Oreochromis niloticus: one gene and its partner. The protein of the gene in region 2 purifies or fractionates together with the protein of the main gene of each other region. This does not show direct contact. Links are inferred from orthologs where the notes say so. Each region holds a gene or a part of one and is shown on either strand. Other genes may lie near its edges.

Evidence for each region. The genes of interacting proteins can lie anywhere in the genome.
Region 1: the proteins of sprtn (region 2) and pold3 purify together in Homo sapiens (affinity purification with mass spectrometry; 3 studies listed by BioGRID, with this or other methods). This does not show direct contact. The link is inferred for Oreochromis niloticus from reciprocal best matches to the Homo sapiens genes SPRTN and POLD3.

The regions. Positions count from the first base shown.
Region 1 is NC_031982.2:27,838,837-27,846,929, reverse strand, and holds the start of pold3 (DNA polymerase delta subunit 3), read right to left. Parts: upstream 3,029-8,093; 5' UTR 2,928-3,028; coding exon 2,871-2,927; intron 2,344-2,870; coding exon 2,288-2,343; intron 1,858-2,287; coding exon 1,758-1,857; intron 1,662-1,757; coding exon 1,622-1,661; intron 1,384-1,621; coding exon 1,251-1,383; intron 1,094-1,250; coding exon 838-1,093; intron 746-837; coding exon 673-745; intron 1-672. UniProt on the Homo sapiens protein: Accessory component of both the DNA polymerase delta complex and the DNA polymerase zeta complex.
Region 2 is NC_031980.2:18,418,440-18,425,904, forward strand, and holds the start of sprtn (DNA-dependent metalloprotease SPRTN), read left to right. Parts: upstream 1-4,401; 5' UTR 4,402-4,896; coding exon 4,897-5,228; intron 5,229-5,365; coding exon 5,366-5,465; intron 5,466-5,666; coding exon 5,667-5,795; intron 5,796-6,078; coding exon 6,079-6,361; intron 6,362-7,069; coding exon 7,070-7,465. Other genes in the region: exoc8 (exocyst complex component 8), read right to left, coding at 1-362, 833-1,081, 1,515-1,768, 2,863-4,015. UniProt on the Homo sapiens protein: DNA-dependent metalloendopeptidase that mediates the proteolytic cleavage of covalent DNA-protein cross-links (DPCs) during DNA synthesis, thereby playing a key role in maintaining genomic integrity.

The sequences.
Region 1 (8,093 bases), on a different chromosome or scaffold from region 2:
CATGGCAGCAAAAAAAGTTGGGACGTGGCATCCATGTTTTCCAAGTAAAACGTAACATTTTGATTTCTGACCAGAAAGGTTTTCCACTTTGCCTCAGACCATTTTAAATGAGCTTTGGCGGAGAAGATGGCAGGGTTTCTGGATCGTGTTCACAAGTGGCTTCTGCTTTAGAGCCTCTACATTCAAACCTTACACTCCATGCAAGACAAAACTGTTTTGCTGATTACAACCTGCAGCACTTTGGTACTTTTTAAAAAACTTGTTGGCTCACTTGCTGATTATTTTCCACCATGACGAGTAACGCATTCAATTATGATGCTTTTACTAGGTTTATGTGAAATAAGAACATGACAGGAACAACATTTATTTATATAATAATGTGATTTGTACAACTGCTCTGAAAGGCAGATCGTGTGTCAAATAAAGAGCAAAATACTACTACTACTACTACTACTACTACTACTACTACTACTACTACTACTAATACTAATACTAATAATAATAATAAAAACAAACTATGAGCAGAACAGTTTCAAGGTTAAAATAGAAACCTAAAACAAAATAACAGCAGTCTAAATGGAACATATGAATTTTAATCCCCCTTTTAATAAAGTACACCACACACACACACACACACACACACACACACAATTTTTTTAAATTATTACTCACTTGATGTTTGAGTCCCAAAGAAGTTTGCCACTGGATTGACTTTTGCGACCGGTTTGCTTTTGGGTGCTTCGATCTAAAATACAAAATACACACTTAGAAACAAATAGAGCAAAAACTCAAGTACCCTGGAGAGCAACTGACTGCAGCACAAGGACAAAGCCGTACATCATGTGCATCCTCTTTCTTTTCAGGCTTCATCTCTTTGCTGTTATCCTGACTCTTAGGAGCAGATTTGTTAGCAAACATTCCCATGATGCCTTTTGGAGGCTTGGCGGATGATTTTAAAACTGGGCTGGTGTCTCCATTCATGCCAGCCTTTTTGTTTTCAGGCTCAGGTGTAGGAGCTTGCTGAACTTCCCTCGCCTGCTGCAGCTCCACAGAAGACATGGGCACTGCGCTGGCACAGCGGATCGCGCTGTATCTGAAAACCAAAAGGAAATAACTATTAAATAATATTAATAACATTATACATTAATTATGCTTTCATTCTAATAGTGGCTAAACTAATTTTTACACAGATGGTGTAGAAATGCTGATTACTGGTCACTGCAAATCAAAAAACACCATGATTAGCATACCTGCTGCAGTTTTTAAGATTGTCTTTCACAGCGTCGTAGTCCACAGCGTAAAGTGGGCCGCTGTCTTTAAGCAACGCTTTCTGGACGCTGTAGACGTGCACGCTGACTACCAAGCTCATCTTGGCTTTGAAGTCTGCAGAAGAAAACAGCAAACTTGACACACTGCTGCTTCATTTACAATAACTATGTCATTAAATAAAACAAAATACAAAGAAAATCAAGACTCACTGACATAAAAGTGTACCATTTAGTGATGGTGATGATTATGAAATGAGGACATTACTTTCGAAATGAGAACCAAACAACGAGCCAACCTTGCTGTTACAGAGCAACACAACCGAATGATGTCATGTGAATTAATATTTACACACCTTCCAGCTGCTCCTCTCTCACAACAGACACCTTGTGACTCTGAAAAGCAAACACAGTGTAAAAATCATTAAATCTGCAGCTTTGTGCATGTAGAAAAAAAAAAAAAATCACAAAAATTGCTACAACAGGTCTCACCGTTTGACCGTTGTCCACAAATTTCCCTGACACAAGGTAGGTGGCATGCAGCTGAGCTGAACTCTCCTTCCTCTTGTGATCCAGGTAGTGGTAGAGCATTCTGAACACAAGACACAACTTACATGTATTTCCCACAACTTGAGCCTTTACCTGGGCCACTTAGGAACATCAGTGTTTATGGCATTTATGTATTTATCAGCCAATGACACAAAGTGTTAATGATCTTTTTTTAAAAGAAAACACACAGCACCTTTTTTTGCATGCACACATATGCCAAAACATGCAAACATGTGCATGTCTTCATCTCAGTAACACAACAAAAACGGTGTAACTCATTGCAGAAAAACTCAAGCGACATTCCACTGGACTATTACTGTCAAATGTAGTGCTTCTTTGGCGCTAAATACAGTAAACCCTAATTAATTTAAATTTGGGATTGTTGCTTGGACAAACAAGACATTTTGAAGATGGAAAAAAAAAGTATCATATATTATTTTATTAGTTCATGGCATGTCAAAGTAACCACTTACTGTTTTGCTGTGTTGACATGAACTCCAAGAGTGAGACTCAGCCATTTATAGGTTACCTGTTGTAGAGAATGCACACAGGACACTTGTATTTACACAGAGACTATATGACGGATAATAAATATTATCCAAATATTGTCATTTCTTTAAGGTACCGATTATTGTTGCTTTCCATTAAGCTACGTGAGCTGGGAAATATCTAATACTTATCAGATATAAACAAATATCGACTTTATGTCAGTGTTTGAAATGTCTTTACTACAGCAGTGTTTGTCACGCACTTGGCGGTTTCCAGCAGTAACTGAAATTGGTCAACTAAAAATAAGCTTTTCTTCAATTCAAGTGCCATTTACTACAGCATGGCAGAGCCGAATTAACACGGAGACCCCTGAACATCCCTAAAATTGATAAAAATGCCCCCGGATACACATAAATTGTCGTGAAAACCAGACAAAGTTAAAACGGCAGTTTTTTTGAGCGGAGTTCAGCAGCCAATCATGTCGAAGCCAGAGCTAATTCATGTTCTAGTTCAGCCAGAAAACGTCATCGCACAAAATGAAATACCGCGAATTAAGAAGGCACTTACTATTTTATTATGGTCATTGACGTATTCGTCAATATTATCCAAATAAAGCTCATCCATTTTGGTTTATTCTCCTTGAAAGCAGACGACTTGCTGTTCCAATTTAACTGCGCGGGAAAGCAGTTTATTTACTTCCTGTTGCATGTCACGTGTCCGCCCGTCCTTCCTGTGAAGCGAAAGGCTTTAGGCTGCCCTCTGCAGGCCAGACGGGGCTGTGACTCACTCCCTGGATCAAATGAATGATAGAAGTAAAAAAAAAAACAGGAGCTTCATTCATTTATTTTTACTATATTCCACACACATTATCATTATTAATACGTTTTTTTTTGTACCCCAAAACCAACACGGGACAGTTAAAAATCAGTGCAAACTGTCTGAGAACAGCAAAATCCACAATGTGAATGCAGTGGAGCTGAGTGGAGAGAGCATCAGTTCATTATAGGCACTATAATGCACCTATGTATGTGGAAAACAATAATGATGATGGGTCTCCAGGGGCCACTTTAAAGCTATCTCTTATTATAGTAGCCCAACAATGTGCTCCAGTTTTACCTTACCGTCTATGCGGGAGGCAAAGGAGCAGTGTGTAGAAAATAAAGCAAGCTTCTTACACCGCCATCATATCAAAGAGCAATAACTACAACAGCAGCATCCTCAGATTGTTCAGTAGAGAAGTCCATTCCTTCCTCATGGGGAGTCTGCATGATATTTCTAACTCAGGCAATAATAAACTGAAAATGACAACAGAACAAAAATGGTTTGCCCAGTGTGTCTTCAGCTTTCAGGCAACTTTCTCAGGTCACAAGAAAAAAAGTGCAGTGCTCAAAACATAGGATTATATGAAGTGATAAGCTTCAAAACATAAATAACAGATGTTAACTGACCTCCGGCTCCTTAGGAAATAAAGTAATCTTTCTCCCGCTTGTATATGGGTATTCCAGTCCAACTTACTGTTGGGCTGCACACCAGGGTATCTGTGGTTGAAGACCACTTCCATCTCAGTGCTCCTTACAGTTATTGGTGTTGATTGGCTCCTTCTCCCACCCCTCGTGAAGTCTACAATGGTTTTTGTGACATTATGATGAAGAGGATTGCATTCAAAGTCCTAAACTGTTCCTCTATTCTCCTCCTGCTCACCACTTTTGATTGAGCCGACAACTGCTGTGTCATCAGAAAGTTTCAGCAACAAAGTGTCACTGTTGTGCTGATGTCTGAAGTCTGCCGTAGACATGGTACATGCTACACACGGGACTGTGCTAGAGACACTTTTTTGCAGATGCACATATTGTGGTCGGCAGGAGAGATACTCCAAAAACACAAGACCATTGATGGATTGTAGTAAAGGCACTGGAGAATCAAAAAATGTGAATGTCACAAATGCATTGACCAGATATGTATGTGGCCTCTGGATCGACACAGCATTGGTGTGCTTCACTTCTGTTGCATCAGATCTGAAAGAGTAGGTTCAAAAAGTTTAAAGTTATTTATTTGCTTTAATCAAAATGAAATTCACTGACTCTCCCATGTTGATGGGGAAAAAAGAGACTTTTTGTCTCTTATGGATCAATCAAGACAATTAAGAAACTGAATAAATAAATAAATAATGTACCAGAGGAACATTTCCAACCCTGAACAAATGTGCTAAACAAGTAGAAAAATAAGAATGGTTTTAAACAAGCTAACCCATATCATTATCTGAGCATTTCCATTTCTACTCTACCACTTGCAAACCTATTGCTCCAAAAAGCCTTGTTAATGAGATGTAGCTGTCAAATCTGAGTGACACGCTGTATATATGATTATCTGAGGTGTGTTCTCGCAGTCTATCTGATGTAATATTTAGATTGAAGTAGCTCTGAGTCTTCAGTGCACAGCGCTGCTCAGCCTGCACGGTAACTTCTAATAGAAATGTCAAACAGAAGGGCAGCGACGTGCAGCAGAGGAGGGAAAAATATTCCCATAATGATGACAAAGTACAAGAATAATTGTCTCACCTTGAAGACGGAGAGCAACACTGAAATCCTCAGGTGGATCAGATTTGGTTTAAATGAAGGAACATTGTGATCCTCTTTGTCTTTCTTCTCATTGTGCTGCACACAAGCACCTTTACCTTTTTGGGTTTTTTGTGGACTCCTTTGCAAATATACCAGTGCAAAAAATGTAAAAATATTTAAAAAATTCAAATTCAAATTCCCTTAAAGACTTTTTTGTACTTTTTTTTGTCCATATACAGCACCACAGATTTTAAATCAAGGAATCAATAAGCAGTTAAAGTGCAGATTTTTAGCTTTAATTTAAGTTTAACAAAAGTATTGCAGTAGCTATTTAGGATTTTTAGCCAGTTTTATACATAGTCCTCCAGTTTCAGAGACTAATAATAGTAATCGGACAGTTGAGTCATAAAAAGTTTTATGTGAGGTCTGTTCCCTTGTTAGTCCATGATAATATTAAACAGATAAAAGACCTTCTGTTTTTTCCAGGTTGACATTTTCACTGGAATTCTCAGAATTCCAAAGGCAGAAGTTCAAAGGCAGTCCGTCAACTGATGTTAATGCACCAGACAAGGCTTTTTAGTTAGTGAAGACAAAACTTAAGGCGCAAACATACAGCAGCTGAAAATGGCTTGAGTAAAGGCCTGAGAGAAGGCGAGAGGATTTAATACAGCATTTGTTAATTTCCACGAGCTTCTAGATTTCAGTCAGTTATTACCTTATTTTCATTCTAGTATTATATTTTGTGCAAACAAATTTTAAATTGAAGATTTTAAATTAAAATTATATCTGGAAGTATATAGTTCCATTGCAGTGGTGTATAGAGGCAAAATTGTGTCCAAAAACCTAAAGACCAGACTGTATCTCACAAGCATGTGGAGCGTGATCAGTCTATGTCTGTGGTTCTTACAAAACTACAGACATAAAAATTTGGGGAACCATTGACAGATATAGAGTTCAAAAATAGACCAAATGTGCTTTTACGTAAAAATCCTAATCTATGAAGGTATACATACTTGGATGTCAAATTATAAATCAATCCACTATATTTCAAAGAAAGATGTATTTATTCTTTTAAATAGATGTTTCCATAAATACCAGTCAAGTACAATTTTACAAAATCAGGTCACTAAACCAGGTCAGGGTTAAACAAGGTTTTTTTGTTTTAATGAAAGGATTCAGAGTCAGTCAGCACATCTGATTCACTGTAAGCAAAATCAGGGGTTGAATTGATATCAAACCGCAGCCCTCCTCTTGTCACACCAGAATGTCACTTGAGTGTCCCAGTGCCCCCCTCTGGTTGGCTCAAGTGCCTCTCTGCTATGAACTAATGCATCAAAAGTAAACCTTCTCTGTAATCCAGCCCTGCACGTGAAAGAAAAGCTGGCTCTCCTTTAAAAGCCAATGCTCATCACAGCTGCTTTCAGAATCGGGGTAATGTTTGAAACAGTGTTATTCCTCCTTTTGCTGAAGCGTTTATGATACTTTTTATATTGCATTTGTTACTGTTCACTCCCGAATTACATCAAAACCGTGACTGGCTGTATTTGTGTGGATCAAGGGGTTTATTATTGGTTTTATTTTACACTTTGTTTGCAAAACAAACAATATTGGACGTGTCACTCTATATAAGAAATTCAGTCCAAAGTTTTACATTACAGATGCAATTTCTTAGTGATGCAGTGGCTGTGCCATATTTAACATGCCGGTTCATGCGGGCAGAAAAATACGTTTATGCTTGTAACACCTGGAAATGTTGATAAGTGTCGGCAGTACCTGCAGGTGTCTAACACTCTGTGGCTGCCTCCTGTGCTGCCAAAACATCTCTGATCCATCAGGGCGTGCACGAGGTACCGCTGAGGGTGGTCTGTGATGTCTGGCACCAGGAAGTGGATGTTGGCTTTGGGTCCTGTGGTGGCGCTTCCTTGACCGAGGTTGTTCTGGCGTGTCCTGATGCTCAGCAGGATTCACGTGTGGTAGGGTTAAAATCTGGATCAGCGCCTTGGGCAGTTTGTTAAGGTCTTTGAACAATTCGTAAACTTTTTTTTTGCCATGTGGTAGATTGGCTTACATGGGGAGATGATTGCTATCAGGGAGTGACTTTGACGTTAGATACACTTGACCTGCAGCAGTGGCAGCAGTGTAGATGTTACCCTGACATGCAGTGCTCCACATCATTGCAGAAACTCATGCAGAACAGATGGTAGATGGTATCAAATATTTCAGTGGTTTTAACGTTGTGGCCGAACAGTTTATTTAGGTGGTGTTGTGCAATCATACAAGTTTTGTTTTGCCATGGTTGTGACTGCGATCATCATAATATTTCTCCTTCACATACCATGAACTTCTATGACATTGACTTTTTAATGATCCTCAGAACTTTTAAATATTGAAAGAAAACAGAGAAGAACTTTTGATTGCAGCAAGAAAGAAGGATGGTAAACCAGGACGATTTCCCAGACACTGGAGGAGAAAGGATAAAATATCAAACCAGCCTCGCCAGGACTGGGATGGTCTTTTTGGCCGTCTCCGCCCACCACTCTCACAGCATCTAAGTGTCTGAAAAACCAAGCCCATCCTGACCTCCCTGCCATGGCCCCCAAAAATGTAATTAAATTAATTTTTTTTCTAGTTCCGGTGATATAATTTGATTTGCTGGGCCGCTTTTGTCAAAATAAAAGAATGCAAATAAAAAAAATTAAAATGAGCAAATACACAACAATGAAATCTACATCTACCAATCTACAAATAAAGAAAACACCAAATAAAAGAAAGTGAAAAACTAAAATTACTTTCACATCATGACAGTCGTATCAGTTTATGTTCATCTTAACTTTGACTGGCCTAGAGTTTATTTTGGAAAGCTAAAAGTACACAGTATCTACACGATGCGTTAACACACAGAGGTCACAGTTTCTTTTTAATGTATATATATTTACATTTATGGAACACCTGAACAGGAACCTTGAACATGATCACACCACACATAAATGGCCTGTATTTATATAGCGCTTTACTAGTCCCTAAGGACCCCAAAGCACTTTACATATCCAGCCATCCACCCATTCACACACACATTTGATGGCAAGCGCCCCAGCCACCCTGGGGCGCACTGACAGAGGCGAGGCTGCCGGACACTGGCGCCACCGGGCCCTCTGACCACCACCAGTAGGCAACGGGTGAAGCGTCTTGCCCAAGGACACAACGACCGAGACTGTCCAAGCCGGGGCTCGAA
Region 2 (7,465 bases):
CTCGTGCTCTTCCTGAGGTCCTGCAGCTGCTTGGCCGGCTTCCCCACGCCCTCCTCAAACCTCCGCTCAACCACCGGCAGCACGGTGTCATGGAGGAAGGAGGCATTCTGCATGACAAAGGCTTTCTTCTCAGGGTCCTGCTCACAGCGAAGGCTGTAGTCTACGTGCTGTACGGCCACCAGGATGATCTCCCTCAGGCTCTCCAGCAGCACCATGTGCAGCTCAGGGAAGTAGAGCTTCAGGCCTTCCTCTAAGAAGCTCATCATCTGCTTGGTGAAGGCCACGACAGTATAGCTCAGGTTCACCCAGCAGTCATCGCCTGTGTACTGCTCGAAGTGAATGCCACAACTGCGCATCTCATCCTGCAGAAAGATAAATACGTTAATGTTGCAGCAGGTAAAGGAAAACAGTGATTTGTGGCAGCTTTCATATGAAATCCTCAGCATTTGTTGTAACAGAAGCTCTAAGCACACAAGCCAAAATCCCTGCCTCCAGAAATTACAACATAATTAACTATTATTTTTGGTAAATGTAGTATTTACTTTATAAAATGAGTTCCCCACATGACAAGGTTGTGCTTTTATTGTACAAGGAGCATGCAAAAAACCCCAAAATATAAAATTATATAAAAAGGAGCTTAAAAGCCTCACAGTGGAAAAATTTCAACAGTTGAATCATTTAAGCAGATTAATACCGGATTATCAAAGGTTTGGTTTCTGTTACTCAATTTAGGAGGTTCTTGGTTAAAAACTAATCAACAATTGAAGAAAACAAAACACTGAGTGAGAAACCATAAGAACCAAGAGACAAAACAGAAATAATTCTGATCCACCTTAAGTTTAGCCAAAGCCTCAGGAGTCATGAGGTTCATCCTCCTCCACATCTCCTCAGAGTTTCTGTGTTTCGTGGCCTCGATGATAATATCTTTGTAGCTCTGGAGCGCTGCCTTGATGTCTTTGACCAGCAGGGACTGCAGGGTGAAAGTCAGGTCCAGGCCGATCTCGGTGAGCTGCTGACAGTGTTCTTTAGCCACTTTCACGCACTCCGCTGCCGTCGACAGGCTCTCCTTACTGTCGAACACCTAGCAATGAGGAAATAAAAAAATTTACTGTATTAAGAAAACTATACAACCATAAATTTAAACTTGCACGCTGCATGCTCTGGCTGCCATTTAAGAGATCCTCTTGTGTTGCAGCAATACTTTTCAGTTCTTTGCCCTTCTCAGATGGCTTTTTTTTTATTACTAAAAGAACTCAAATTTTTTATACACCTGAGATCCAGAAGCTTATCCTCTGTATACCTAGACACATTGTTGGTTATTTGCGTATTTTAAACCATTAACACCCAAAAACACCACCGGAACACACAAATATTACATCGTGTCTCAGTCGCTTAGTATGTTTTTGGCTATAAACAATAAAGAATATACAAATGATAGATGTTACATATCTTCTAATCATAGGGGACGTACCTATTACTCATTTTAGGGTTTTACCATCTGACATTCTAACTACCTGCTTGCTGAAGGCGTCCACAAACATCCTCATGGCTGATCTGGACCAGACCACGAAGGCAGAATAGCAGCCTGTGTTCCCGGCAAAGTCCATCTGAAATTCCTTGGCCGTCTCCAGCAGGCTGGTGAAGAATATGTTGCAGAGTTTGTGGATGTAGAGCAGCGTGGCTCCTTCAATGCGAAGCTGCCGTATAGCAGTCTGCACTGCAGCGGCGCGGTTCTTCAGAAACAGCTCACAGGCTTTAGTGGACTGGCCTGAAACACAGATGACTGTGTGATGAGACAGTACAGATGTTCATGGCAATTACATTGTCTTTTTGCAAATACATGCAAACTGTGATGCATTATGGGAATCTGAGGGCCTTTATATTTATGACTGCAAATGTACAACATGTGTAGCTATTTCTCAGCTGATTCTGGTATGTTTTTTAGTATATGTCTTGAAACCTATTAAGCTAAATGGAAAAAAAAAAGTCAATTAAATTTGAGTAAAGTGGATGGCAAATTCTCCTTGAATATATAAAGAATACCTGGGAGTGAAGGGACAAAATGTTTAGAAAATAATTATGGGAGATATTAAGAGAGTATTATATGTTAATAGTTAACTGAAATATGAACTTTTGTGATTTTTTCACATTGCCAAAGCGATCCTACCTCAGTGTCTCTCTCTTTCCTTTTGATTGAGTTTTAAAATAGGTTTATACCCTACATACTCCTGCTAAAGGATAATGTTTTGCCCGAAAAAGGTCAAGTACTGAAAAATTGCAAATAAACATGTTTTTGCAAATCAGTCAGTGTGTGGGAGTCTGTTTGCAAAGCTCAGGCATAATTAAAAATGGATCCACTCGAAGCTGTTCTGCACCAAAGCAAAATACAAATTTCTAAGGCTTTATAACATTTGGCCATTCAAGAACAATTCTGACAAAAAATAAATAGTAAACTATATATAAACTATCATGAGGTTAGTTCTCTTAGTGCTCTGAATAGGAAAGTTATTTTCTTAATTAAGTAGTTTGAGAATATTCACCTTGACTGAAGATGAAGAGAAAAACAGTGAATACGTACAGATCACCGCAAGCACAGCTTATTTGTCTGAAAATTACACTTTAACTGCATCCAAGGTCGAACTCGGACAACAAGCAATTTGAAAGTCAAGTCCATGCAAATGATGGAAGAGAATGAGCTAAACTCCCTGAATAATGAACAGTGAATTGTGGAAACCCTGTGAGTGGGCTCCTTACTGTGAATACACTGAATATAAAGTGAGATCTAAGCAGACAGGTGTTATTTGTTTTGGTGATGTGTGCAAGCTTGTTATTATTGAGGAAAATACAAAAAAATAAAAGGACCTAGTCTGATGAGCTGGGAAACAGCCCGCCGGGTTGCTTTAGGACCGCCACGAAGTGACCGATCTGGAGACAACTCAAACACCAGGACCTCTGTCAGCTGCCGCACACGTTCATCCACCTTCCCCCTAAGCTCTTTAACCTTCGGGGTGACAGGCTGATCTCTGAGATACTCGTTGAGCTTGTCCAGCAGGTCAACAGCACCCTCGAAGTCTCTCTGGGCAATGCACACGTCCAGATCCTCTGGCAGCTCCTGGATCCACTCAAGACTAAGATTCACGCTCTCCTCACCATCAACCGTGTCTTCATCGTCATCCATATCAAAAGGATTGGTGGATACCTCAGCTCTAACAGGAGAAGTGGGGACCTCCTCCTCCTTCTTGTGCCTGTCTTTGGAGACTTTGTTTTTCTTGGTTTCATCTAGGATCTCCAACCACTCTTTCTTAACTTTGCTGTTCTCTGCCTGGAAGATGCGGCTGTCTGGAAACATCAGGATCTTGAACATGTCCTTCATCGGAGGGTTGTCTTTTACGTTAACCACAGCAAAGCTCTCCAGGTCATACAGAGCGTTGTATTTATACTTAACCGTGCCACGGCGGTTAGGCAGCCAGGTGGCAATCAGCAGACAGTCATTCATCAGGAAAGCATGCACCTTCTGAATGGGGGACATGTTGTCAACATCAAACTCTGCAAGGTCCCCATTGTAGATAAGGTGCCTGCCTGGGGTGTCCATGATGTTTTTAACCCCTTCCACTTTCTCCAACAGTGAGGTGAGGGTCCTCTGCTTCACCTCCTCCGTCTCCTTGGGAAAAGCTGCCTGCATCTCTTTAGACGTCTCATCCTTATCTGTGGACAGCAGGGCCTGAGTGATACTCTCCATGATGCTCTTCTGTTCAGTCAGGATGTGGCTCAGCTGGTACATTTCGCTCTCCAGATAGGAAATCTCTTTGGCAGTTTCGATGAACTGTCTGTAGTTCTTGTAAACATTTTTCTTCAGATTTTGAGCCGTTTCGTCCGCAAGGTTTTGGATTTTTTGTCGGTGCTCCTGCAAATCCCTGTCGCCATCGGACTGCTGTGACAGCTGCTTGACGTAATTTTGCGGGTCGAAATTGGGCGATTCGAGCAGCTTCCGTAGTCGGTTCCCCGTTTCCGACATCTTTTGCCGTGTAACTGTTTACTTATTGAGATAAATTGTTGAGAAAATATAGAAAAAACTGGACAGAGAACTAGTTTATCGAGGCTCCTTGGTTCATATCCGCTTGTAGTCTAAACAGGAAGTTGACACCCTGGAACGTCACGGGATACAAAAAAATAATAAAAACAATTTTAAAAAATCTAAATGATAATTAGTCGTTCATAATGGGTCTTATATTTATTTTTAATATAATTTAACATATGTTAATGATTTATATTAGAAAGCCGTGTTGCTTTTATTTATTTAACTGGTGGAAACTACTTGAAACGAACAACACTACAGTTCCCATAATCCATTGCCAAGACCTTCGCTTGACTATTCTATCAAGTTTATGGTAGTTACGCAAAACTAAACAGGATGTAGCATTTTATAAAACGAAAGAATGTTCCATTTTTGAAAAAAGATATTAGTGGATGCTACAGAACGCATATGCAGATAGTTTGATATTTTAAACTTATACATCAAAACAAAAAAGAAAATAGCCATATTGAACTCAGGCTTTTACTTAAAACTTACTTAGTCGTTTAAAACTGACTTAGTTGTTTTACTTTGAAACCCGTAGCGGAATTTATTTTGTCCTATTGTGACAGACCTGATACACGGATCTTCGCGCTAGCTTTGGTCTGACGGTTAGTAATATGAAAATGTTACTGAAAATTTCATGACAGAAAGTATTTGGACACGTATTGGTAATTTGTCAGACTACATTTTGAGACGACGTGATGCTACCGCTTTTTTGAGACCTGTACAAACTGCATTAGCTAGTTGGCGCTAACACGCTAACCAAAAAGAACATAACAACAAATATCATCAAAACAACAAAAAAACTTTCCTCTCTTGTCATGGATGAGGATTTTCTGCTCGCTATTCGGCTGCAGGAGCAGTTTGATCAGGAATACCGGGCTTCATTATCTTCATCAAGTGGTACTATAGATAATAGTTTCGGGCAGAGCAATAAGAAACGGAGAGTGGAGGTAGCTGGAGGTGGTAGCGATGTTGTTCCCTACTGGAAACCGAATCCCCAGCTTGAGAGGCCACTGTCCATTGTGGACGAGTCCTGGGAGATGCTTGACCCTAGCCCCGACATCAGGGCCATGTTTCTGGAGTTCAATGACATGTTCTTCTGGGGTAAACTCAGCGGTGTGGAGGTGAAGTGGAGCTCGAGAATGACCTTGTAAGTCATGCATGTTTTTGTTATTTTTAACTCCCACAAACTTGTCTACACAATAACACCTTTGATTTTTGTATGGGATTTGGTTTGGCATGTCTGTAATGTGTCCTGCTCCTCTTTTCCTCTCTTTCTTCTCTTAGGTGTGCTGGAGTTTGTTCTTATGAGGGTCAAGGTGGACTGTGTTCAATCAGGCTGAGTGAGCCTCTGCTGAAGCTTAGACCCAGAAAAGACCTGGTAGAGGTGAGGTGGACCTGAACACCATTCACATCAGAAACACTGGGAAAGGGCTTGTTGTAGGGGCTGAAATTTATACAACTATCATTTTACCTCCCTAACCCCAGCAGTGAATGCGTGACAGTGTGATAGATTAGAACTTGTAATCCTTAAAAAAGAGGACAATTTTCATTTTATTAATCAGTTTATTTTCACTGGTTGCCACAGACCCTTCTCCATGAAATGATTCACGCGCTCCTGTTTGTGACACAAAATAACCGGGACAGAGATGGCCACGGACCTGAGTTCTGCAAACACATGAACCGGATCAACAAAGCCAGTGGGACCAAGATTACTGTAAGTATATGTTCTTGAGACATATTCAAACTTATTCTGTTTTGTGGACCACATATACATACAAACCTTCAAATGTACAGTTGTATTCAGAAGTTTACATATAATCATCATGGACTTGAATGTCATAGGAATTTGGGGCTTTTAATGATTTGTTTGAACTGCTGTTCAGGGTGCAATGATTGTACAGCAAAGTAATCAAGAAACATTTAAATTCATTTTGGATTTTCTCTAATCTCTCTCTTTCATAAACTTATGTCTTGCCATCTTTCCTTCCTTTCATCAGATCTACCACAGCTTCCACGATGAGGTTGATATGTACCGGCAGCACTGGTGGCGGTGTAATGGGCCCTGCCAGAAGCGTAAACCCTACTTTGGCTACGTGAAGAGAGCCATGAATAGAGCTCCTTCTTCTCTGGACCCTTGGTGGGAGGATCACCAGAGAACATGTGGTGGCACATACACCAAAATCAAGGAGCCTGAAGGATATGGCAAAAAAGGCCAAAAAAACAGCAAGACCTCAGAGAAGAAGGCCGCAGGAAGTGGCAAGCCTTCAAGTACGACTACAGGTAACATGCCCGTACACTCCTGTGTATTAAGCTTTAATACATTGTGCCAACAAACTAGAAAATGTTGTTCATATTTCAAACATTTTAAACATCAGTGAAAAATGTTCTTAATTTTTTGTGACAGCCTCAAAACAACAGTCATGTTATGCTTTGATGCCTGACTGCTTTTAACCGTGAATAGATTGTTTCCACTGAGTAACTTGAGCATGTAAAATCAATTTAAATCAAATGACCCCCTGCAACAAAACATGCAGGAAATATAAAGAATGGTATTTACTGAATTGGCCCCTCAGAGACTCTCGGTTGACCCACTGGACAGCTTTGGAAACATTAAGTGTGTAATTACTACACAATTAATAATAATAATAGTAATAATAATAATAACAGTAATAATAATAGTAATAATAATAGTAATAACTTCTTTACACTTTCAGAAAGAGGAGTTTCACTGGTTAGGCCCACTTAAGGTCAAAATGGACTTTATGTGGTCCACAGTGTGAAATGAGTATGACACCCCTGATTTAGAGCACCTGAAGTGATCACTTTACATACACTGACTTCATTGTCAGAAACTCTGGTCGTGTATATAAAAAGATATAATATAAGAACTGAAATTAAAGAAAAAGCAAACCAGGTCCACTTGAACTAAGTTACTGGATTTAAATACATTGCATGGTTGACTCTAAATTGTATCATTTCCTGTCCCAGGTTCTGGATCACAGGATATAAGGGACATCATCCCATTTAGTGGGAAAGGCTTCATCCTTGGGGGGAAGTCTCAGGACTCAACGTCTTACTCGCCATCTCCCAGGCCACCACTTCCTGTTGTGAAAACACCATTGTCCAACCCTGTCCCCTCCCCAAAGAAGTTCTTCACGCCATCGTCCCCGCCTAAAAGTCTCTCCTCTCCTGTTCACTCTAACAAGACCAATGGGATTTCCAACACTTTTACCTCAGTCAGACCATCCACTTCCATGGGGAGAAAGCCACCTGTAAAGAGGTCTGTCGGCAACACGACGCACTTTGTCAACATAAACGGTTCACCAGTGAAAATGCCAAAATCCCAGAGCAGTAGTAGCAGCCAAGGAGGAGATAAGAGCAAAC